Cricetulus griseus: one gene and its partner. The protein of the gene in region 1 interacts with the protein of each later gene in a pairwise test. Links are inferred from orthologs where the notes say so. Each region holds a gene or a part of one and is shown in the gene's direction. Other genes may lie near its edges. The genes, in order: Tbl1xr1 and Arl2.

The links.
Region 2: the proteins of Tbl1xr1 (region 1) and Arl2 interact in binary tests that used the Homo sapiens proteins (3 or more experiments, as listed by UniProt). The two-hybrid records come from large-scale screens. The link is inferred for Cricetulus griseus from reciprocal best matches to the Homo sapiens genes TBL1XR1 and ARL2.

The regions. Positions count from the first base shown.
Region 1 is NW_023276806.1:126,368,518-126,372,786, reverse strand, and holds the start of Tbl1xr1 (F-box-like/WD repeat-containing protein TBL1XR1), read left to right. Parts: upstream 1-1,205; 5' UTR 1,206-1,483; intron 1,484-1,827; exon of another isoform or gene 1,828-1,964; intron 1,965-4,269. UniProt on the Homo sapiens protein: F-box-like protein involved in the recruitment of the ubiquitin/19S proteasome complex to nuclear receptor-regulated transcription units. Plays an essential role in transcription activation mediated by nuclear receptors.
Region 2 is NC_048596.1:53,197,773-53,202,229, forward strand, and holds the start of Arl2 (ADP-ribosylation factor-like protein 2), read left to right. Parts: upstream 1-1,639; 5' UTR 1,640-1,777; coding exon 1,778-1,842; intron 1,843-4,278; coding exon 4,279-4,389; intron 4,390-4,457. UniProt on the Homo sapiens protein: Small GTP-binding protein which cycles between an inactive GDP-bound and an active GTP-bound form, and the rate of cycling is regulated by guanine nucleotide exchange factors (GEF) and GTPase-activating proteins (GAP).

The DNA.
Region 1 (4,269 bases):
CAAAGCAGAGTTTCAAGTTATATGTTAGAATTCAAAGGAAGGCTGTTTCTTACACTCCAGGTTTCTGAAAAGCTCAGGAAGGTCAACGCAGTGCTTAAAAATGTTTTCCTTAAAAAACAAAACACAAGCTCTCAGCACTCCCCCAGTCACAATGTGACATTATTGAGGAGCCGAGGGGTACTTCTGAAACCGCCTTCACGTGCCACACGCATGCAGAAAAGTAGGAGATAAACTCCGGTGGAAGCCACACCCCGGTGCATACTTAGTGAACATTCATTCAGTTTATGACTTTATTTTTGCGCAATGTGAACTGATCGACCAAACCTTCCCAAGAGACCCAGAAGACAAGTGGCACAACTGGGCACACATACTTCAATTACAGCTTTGAAATAGCACCAAACCCCTTCTCTCCGTGTGCGCGCCTCCCCCACGCGCGGTGCTCGGGTCCCCCATCCTGCCACTCGCTCCCTGCAGATAAGCACCTTTCCAGGTACACTTCCGAGCAGGCGTGTTTACACGCAACGGAGTGAGCGACGCTTTGCCCGCGATGTCCCATCCGGAGCCCGCTCCGCGCTCCCTCACCGGCCCCCTGCCTCTGGGAATCAGGAGGCAGGGGACCCGAGTGCCACCCAGTCCGCGGGACAGCCCAGGCTGCCGGCTCTGGAACGAATGCGCTCCGGGAGCCCAACCCCCAGCGCCGCCTGGGAGCGAGGGAGGGTGGGTGGAGGGAAAGCAGAGCAAGTGAGGAAGCGGAGAGTGCAGCCGCGAGCCGGCCGCCACCCCCACCGCCTCGCTGCCTCCGTTGGGGCCCCGCCCCTCCGGCGCGTCCCTTCCCCCCAGCGCTCCTCCCCTCATCCTCCCTCCCTCCCTCCCTCTCGAGGTTCCCCTCCCCCTCCCAGGCTCAGGCTCCCTTCCCCCTCGCCTTTCCTCCTCCAGGCTCCCTTCCCCCTCCACGTTCTCTTTCCCCACCCCTCCTCCAGGCTCCCCTCCCCCCCTGCCTCCTCTCCCTCCCTTCCTCCTCCCAGGCTCCCCTCCTCCTCCGGGGTCCTCCTCACTTCCTCCCTCCCCCACCCCTCCCGGCGCCCTTCCCCTCCCCCTACACGGGTCGTCCTCCCCTCCCCTCCATCCCCCTCCTCGCTCCCTCCTCCCTCCCCGCGCGCCGGGCGCAGGCCGCTCGGGTTTGTTTTGCTGTGCGGGCCGCCGCCGCCGCCGCCGCCGCCGCCGCGGGCCCGGAGCTCATTTGTGCCTGGCTGGTCCCCGCGCTCCCCGGTGCCGAGCCGGAGCCGTTGGCCGCTCGCGCGCTTGGCTCTCTCCCTTAGTAACAGCTCCCCTCCTGCCTCGGTGCTGCGCCCTGCCCCGCGCCCCTCCCCCGCCGGACCCGCCGCCCGGCTGTCAGCGCCAGCACCCCAGGGCGCCTCAGGGTGCCCACGGCGGCCAGGAGGGGAGCGCCGCGCATCCGGGAGGGGACAGCGTCGCCAGGCAGGTGAGCGCGGGCCCGGGGCGGCGGGCGCTGCGAACTTGGCCTGGGCGCGGGGGAGGGGCGGCCGCGCTCACGTGCCGCCCCCCCTCCCGGGTCCGGGTGGCCGGGCTGCGGGAGGCACTCGCCTTGGCGAGCGGGCGTGGGGGCGCAGGCTGGATGCGGGGCCGCAGCCGCTCGAAGCTCGCTTAGCGGGGGAGCGGGCTGGGCTTGGGATGGGCGCCCGTCCGCGCTGGGGCGCGCGGGCTGCAGTCACCCGGTCGCGCTCCCTTCTGGGCCCCGCCGCGCGGAGCCTCCGGGCAGCGGCGGGGGCTGCGGGCGGCTGTTGGGGTGCGGCGGGGGGAGGGCGCGGGCGGGTCTCGCTCACTCGGGACGCGCGTGTGGTTACCTTGTCTCTGTGGCCCCTCCACAAGGAGGCCCTGGCCACAGTCTCGGTAAAGTTGGGTCAGAAGTGTATACAGTTGGCAAACTTATTGCCAGCTTCCTGGTAAGTTTCGGGGTGGCACACAAGTCACATTATCTTTCTGACAGTGTAGAGGCCAGGTTGTGAGTGTTTGCTGGGTAACTTCCTCTTTGCAACCGATGTCTTTTTCTTTTTTGGAACAGGGCAGACTTTCATTTAAGTGTAATATTCCATGTTGAAAGGCAGCTCGAGGCGAGCCATGCATGTTTCGGAGTGTTCAGTAATTTTGGAAGTTCTCAGTTTGGATTAAATTTAGGTTATGAAAATGTCTGTTCACGTGTAACATTTGGATTGGGTGGCTTTTAAGAAACTCACTCTTTGTTGGGTTACCGAATACTGAGAATAATTTGGTGATCACACAGAAGTGTTGGAACGTAGCTCAACATGACTTTTCCTCAGGCTGGAGATTTCTTAAAACCTTGAACTTCACAAGACCCAGGGTGAAGGGTTTTCCTACCTATGTCATTTACAGTAAATTAGGGAAGCTTACTGTTGGCCCTCTTGTTTCCCATATAGGAACCTTAGGCTGGTCTGAACATGTTAATAAAATATGATGGGTGAAATGCTGTGTTTTGGTTTGAATCTTGAGCCTGAATGCTCCCCCACCAATGTAAAGTAACGTCTTTTTCCTCCTGTCCCCAAATCACTTGGCTGTAGCATCTGATTTAACTTAGCTAAAATAACTTGCAATAAGTATCTCGATGGCCTGTTGAAGGTAGTGACTTTGGGGTTTCCCTGTGTGATTCATGTTCATTTTTGTTAAATAAGAGCCATGCTTATTAGAGTACTTCAGTAATCCCGACTTCCTGGGACTGTATGTTCTCACCACTTTAATAAGTTTATAGTCTGGTGAAGTAGGGCATCTTTGTCTCCACAGAAACATTGTTTATCAGTTGGATTGAAACGTGGGAGTTAATGGCAACCTTCCCAAATTATCATTGAGAGTTCTAGAAACAGTTGGCATTTACCTATGGGGGAGGGGTGGCAGGACGAAAACGTGCCTGGAAGGAGTTAGGCAGGCAGGCCCTGAGTGCAGCCAAGTCGAGGCTTCTCTGCCGCTTTAGTGTATTTCTGTCTTAGTTTTGCTGTTCTGCAAGGCATTAAGTCTGTAATCACAAACATTAAACACTCCAGTCACTTTCCCTCTCTTGTGTAGTTTAATGAATGGAGTCAGATCTCTAGTATTTAGGACCAACACTAACTTGTGGGGAAAGAAAACAGTGTCAAAAGTCAAACCAATTAACTACGTACAGACTTAAAAATTCTTGCACCTTCATCCTCTGTTTGAAGCACACTTCCAACCTGTACATGTTGTTAACATAGGAGATGGAGTAGTTTCTTAATTTGGATGTGTTTTGGGGGCGATATTGGCAATTGAGCCTAAAGCAAGTGCTCTGCCACTGAGCTACCGCCCAGCCATGAGATTGATTGTATTTTGTGTTGACTTGTTGAAGAACCGACAAACACTTTAACTTTTTACATATGCCCAAGTAAGTACCCCTTTGATACTTGCAGTCTACCTAGTTAAGAGTTTTGCAAGATTGATTATCATGATACCTGTATGCCAAGACAACAAGGAAGAAATTCGTCCTGTGAATTAGGAAGCTTTGAAACCGGTGAGCAGAGAGGGAGGGTAGCTCCTGCCATATAAACATGGACTTTCTGATAGAAAGGGTGTGCCAGGTAGACCTTTGGAGCTTCAACCTGTTGAGTAAATGTGCTAGCTCACTTGTGGTGAGTAAGTCTAACTACAGTGTGGTCAGAGGCTGTGTACAAATGAGTTTCCCCACAGACTTTGTCAATGGAATGTTACTGTGGAGATTGAGCACATTTAGATGAAGTTAGTTGCAACAATTTGTTAGGTTTGTTACCTATATAAAAACAGAGAGAAATGCATTGGAGCTCAGGGGAGAGGTGAAAGAAACCTTGGCACTGGTTAGAACTGTTTTTTTGGTACATGTAGATTTGACTCATTTTCAGAAATAACATTTAGAATGGACAGCCCTGAAGTGGGAAGAGGAAGGCAGTGAGCTTCGGACATTTACTATTTATCCTCAGACTTTCCCTGTGGCTGGCTGTGTAGTAAGGCCCATGGAACTGCCACCAACAGAAACTGTGGAGTGCTGATGCTCAGGAGCTTTTACTACCTAACTGCCTTTGGTGTCATAGACTGTAAGAGTACAAGTAATTGCCCTTTTACCAGAGAGCTAAAGGAAAAGGACTCTGAGCCACCTCCAGGAGTTGTGAGGTGCAGCCTGCCATTTAGACTGATCCCCTGTGGTCAGTCTGGAGTGTTGGCTTTCTTTGATGGGAGAGATTCTAGAAAGAG
Region 2 (4,457 bases), on another chromosome or scaffold:
GAATTCGCTGCCTGGAATCCACAAGAAGTGAGGAGAGAATCTGCTCCACAAAGTTGTCTTCTAACCTCCCCCCCCCCACAATTTACACACGATAATAATTGTTTTTTGAGACAGTCTTGAAAGAAGTAAAATAGAAAAAATTAATAAAAGCCTAAAACTTGGACTCCAAAGCCCAAATAGAAAACCTCTTACCTCTCTCTGAGTTCCCAAAAAGGCAGCCCGACAGATAAGGCTAAACAAAGAACTGGGTACAGAGGCCTGAGAACAGATAACACCCTCCAACTGTGTCAACATTTCTCTGTCCTAAAGAAGATCCGATAGTTGTCAATTTGTAGTTGTAAAAGTCCCTGCCTAGGAGATAATTAACAAATTTAAACTTACTTCCTCTACAGCATCCTGCTTAATTGCATCCTGCTTAAACATAGTTATTGTTTCATCCTATGTAACCATAAAATTTTGCAATCTCAAGACATTCATTCATTTGAACCTTCCCTTTAAAAAAACACCCTCAGCAAAAAAAGCGGCACTCAGCCTGTTCCCAAACGGGCAGGGTCCGAGTTGCAAATCGTAAAAAAGAAACCTGTGTTTTTACATCGGTGTGTCGCTTCCTCGGTGATGGATTTTTGGGTTTCCACGATCTGGGCATAACAGTTTCACTATATGTCGCCCTGGCTTAGTCGATATGTAGACTAAGCTGGCCTCATCTACTTGCCTCTGACTTCCAGGTGCCGGGATTAAAAGTGTGTCACCAACCACGCGTTGGTGGCGCATGCCTTTAATCCCAACACTCAGGAGGTAGAGGCAGGAGGATCTCTGTGAGATCGAAGCCAGCCTGGTTTACAGAGCGGGTTCCAGGACAGCCAAGGATACACAGAAAAACCCTGTCTCAAGAAACAAAACAAAACAAAAAAGAACTAAGTCTTGGGCAAAGTCATTTACTGAACGACCTAACTGAACACACCTACTACATGCCAGCAGTGGGCTCCAATGTTTGTTAAGACAGGTTCTCTCTACTTAGCACTGGCTGACCTGGAACTTCTTAGGTACTCCAAATTGGCCTTGAACTCAGAGATCGGCCTGTCTCTTCCTCCCTAGTGCTGGGATTAAAGGCCACCACTACCCGGGTCGCCCGAGCTTCTCAACCTGACAGCTTCCCGGCGATCCTTTGTGCAGGTCTGATCGCTGCATTGCGGGAAGCTTGGAGCTTTAAATGACTATGACTATTGTGTGGTCACTGAAACAACCCAAAGGAGCCCTTACTGCCTGTACATTTCGAAACGGCCCCTAGGGGGCATCGTCACCCTCGACTAAACGCACAGAGCCATTTCCGACAGAGTCCCGGACCAGAATCAACCCGTTCTCACTGGCAGATGTGGATAATGCAAGTCACAAAATGAGCGGGAACCGGGCCATTTTACGGCCCCCGGATGATTGTCAGCCGCCTGTGGAACTAGGTTCGGACTCCTGGCTCAGAATCCCTTCGCGAGTTCTCCCTACCTAAACGAGATACAGCCCGAGATGTCAGCCCCGCGTCCCCGATGGAGGCCTTGGAGTCGGAGGGTTTGCTGATTTTTACCCAGGTCCCCTCCGAACCTCAGAAGCGAAGGGTTAAAGCAGCAGGCAGCAAATTCGCCGCCGCTTCGCTAGAGGGCGACGCCACGCACCCCGGTGATCACGTGGTGTCGAGGGCGGAACCAAGCACCAGACTGGCCAATAGGAGCCTGGAGCGGGGTCCCGGGACTGGAAGAAACGGCGGCCGGGAGGGGGCTACGGGATCATGGGGCTTCTGACCATTCTGAAGAAGATGAAGCAGAAAGAGCGAGAGCTGCGGCTGCTCATGCTGTATCCTCAGAGCGCCCCAGCGGCCGCGAGGGTAGCGGGACCCGCCGGGTGGGCGGAGCCGGGCGCGGGGGCGCGGCCGCCGTGGGTCCCCACCGCCGGTGGTGCGTCACTCACGCGGCGCTACCACTGCTCCGCGCGGGGCCGGGGCGGGCCGTACCACTCTGCGGGGCGGGGGGTTGCGTGCTAACGGCGGCGGTGTGGTCCTGAAGGCCGGCCCTGGACCCGGGTCTCCAGTGCCGTAGGAAGGCGCGCCGCGGTGGTGGTGACCCGGACGTCACGGTGTCTCGGGCTGGCTCGAACGTGGGCCCCGCTCCTCCCCAGCGCTGACCCCCTCCCCTTCGTGTAGGCCCTGGCGATTCCTTCAGGGCTGGAATCCCGGGGCGTGAGGACCGCCTAGGCCCCTGAGGGTAGGCGTGGACTTGGTCCCAGGTTAACTGTCACTCAGGGCCCCGGCCGACCTTCCATTGCATTAAGTAGCACCTGCATCGCCCGCCTTGTGTTGTGTCTGGCACCTGAGCATCTGTGATCCTCAAACTGGCAGGGAGAGAAGAGGTAAATTAATGTGCACTTCCAACGTTACCACCCGTGCCAGTTGTAGACAGTTTGAGAAAGACAGTCATTAGATTACTATTTATTGATTACTACTTATTTAGAGAATGCCGTGAAACAGGGAAACGAAAAAGCCTTCCTTGTGGATAATGGAAGAGGAGAAAGAAGTTGTAAAGCAAATAAATAAAATGTGTAGTTTGGGTTGAGAAGAACGTAGTCCGGAGTGGTCAAAGACCGTGCCAAGATAAGAAGTACTGGGCAAAGACTTGAGGAAGGTATTGATGTCTGGGGATGACCTCCAAGTGCAAAGGACCTGGGGGAGGATAAGACTACCATGTTCGAGGGAAGTCAAAGAGTGAAGAGTGACTACAGAGAGGGAGGAGACCTCATGGGCTGGGACCATTTAGGCCACAGGATGGTGGCTTGGAGCAGGATGGAGGAAGGGAGTAGTGGGTAGTAGTGCTGGTAGGACTTGCTGCTACACTGGAGGAAAATGTGAGGGAGAAGGGGAAGCCACGCCGGAATCCCTGGTTTCTGGCCACTTGCTAATACTGGAGAGGAGCAGGTCCTGACTCTGTTTGGGCAGGTGGGTGTTGGAAGGGTTGGGATAATCAGTGGCCGGCTTTCCAAGAGTAAAGTTGGACTGCTGATGAGAGGTAATCTGCTCACCCCCTCTCACAAAAGAGGGTTGTTATGTTTTATTTAAAAGGAGGAAAAGAGAAAGCTGCAAGATGAGACATGTTAACTAGTTTATTATATGGCCCGGCAGACTAAAAGAGAAGAGGAACAGGGGTAATGGCTGACCGCCATGGCCGGTCGCCATAGAGGCAGAGAGAGCTCGTAGGTGGGAGAAGAGAAGAGCAGAGAAGGAGTGAGCAAAGAGAGAGCGGCGTAAAGAGAGAAAGCAGAGAGACAGCGCGAAGCAGGAAAGTTGGAGCTTTTAAAGGGAAGACTGCGAGTGGGCACTGAGGTTCCAGGCATGCCCAGAGTCCTCATGCGTGGCGGGTGACATGGTGATGACTTAGCGCGTTTTCTAGTGCGTGCCCTGACCTTTCAAGGGTCACTGGGCCTGCAGGTGAGCAGGAAGAGGGTCTAAATGCAGAGCTTGCCCCTTCCCTCCCACCCCTCAATTCAGACTGTGGTCACCCCAAGTTCCCACGTGCCGTTGAGCTCACCCAGTGGTTTGTTCTCTGCAGCAGAGGCTGTGGATCATTCTAGAAACAGATGAAGGTGGTTGCCACCTCTAGATACTTGCGCCTTACTTGGTCCCTCAGAGGACTGGGCGCATCTATATTGGGTCTCAAGACCCCACCGAGCCTTATCTGATGCCTAAGTTGAAAGCCATTCCTTTCAGGAATGTCTCACAGGTTTCAGGGATCCCAGATACCCAACTTTGTCTGCTTTATTTAGTCTTTAATTTTTTTTCTTACACTTTATATGTGTAAGTATTTTACCTGTATATATGTATGTGTACTATGTTGAGCACCCGGTGCCCATAGCGGTCAGGGTTTGGTTGTGAACCACCATGTGGGTGGGTGTTGGGAACTGAACTCAAGTCCTCTGCAAGACCTGATGAGCCACCTCTCCAGCCCCATTATTTAGGTTTTTTGTTTTTTTGTTTTTTGTTTTTTTGCTAGTGTTTAAGTGTCATAAGGGTGAAGACTTTGTCCACCAACACCTGAGGAGGCCTGGCACATAATAGGCACTTAATATTTGTTGCTAACCAAAGTTACTTTAAGTTGGCCGAGATGATAATTACCTCAAACCACTTATGGGTCAGGCATGTGCTCCACTTGTTTCAATATACAGTAGTCCCTAAGAGTTTGGTAGTATGATGACATGTCCTCCAGCAGAGCTCAGAGACTTCTCCTTAGCTCTGTGTCCCAGTGGCTTGGACAATGCTGGCAAAACCACCATCCTCAAGAAGTTCAATGGGGAAGACGTGGACACCATCTCCCCAACACTGGGCTTCAACATCAAAACCCTGGAGCACCGGGGGTGAGTAGTGTCACTGAGGGGGAGCCACTGAGGGCCACTGTGTGGGGGCCAGGGGTGAGTAGGACCAC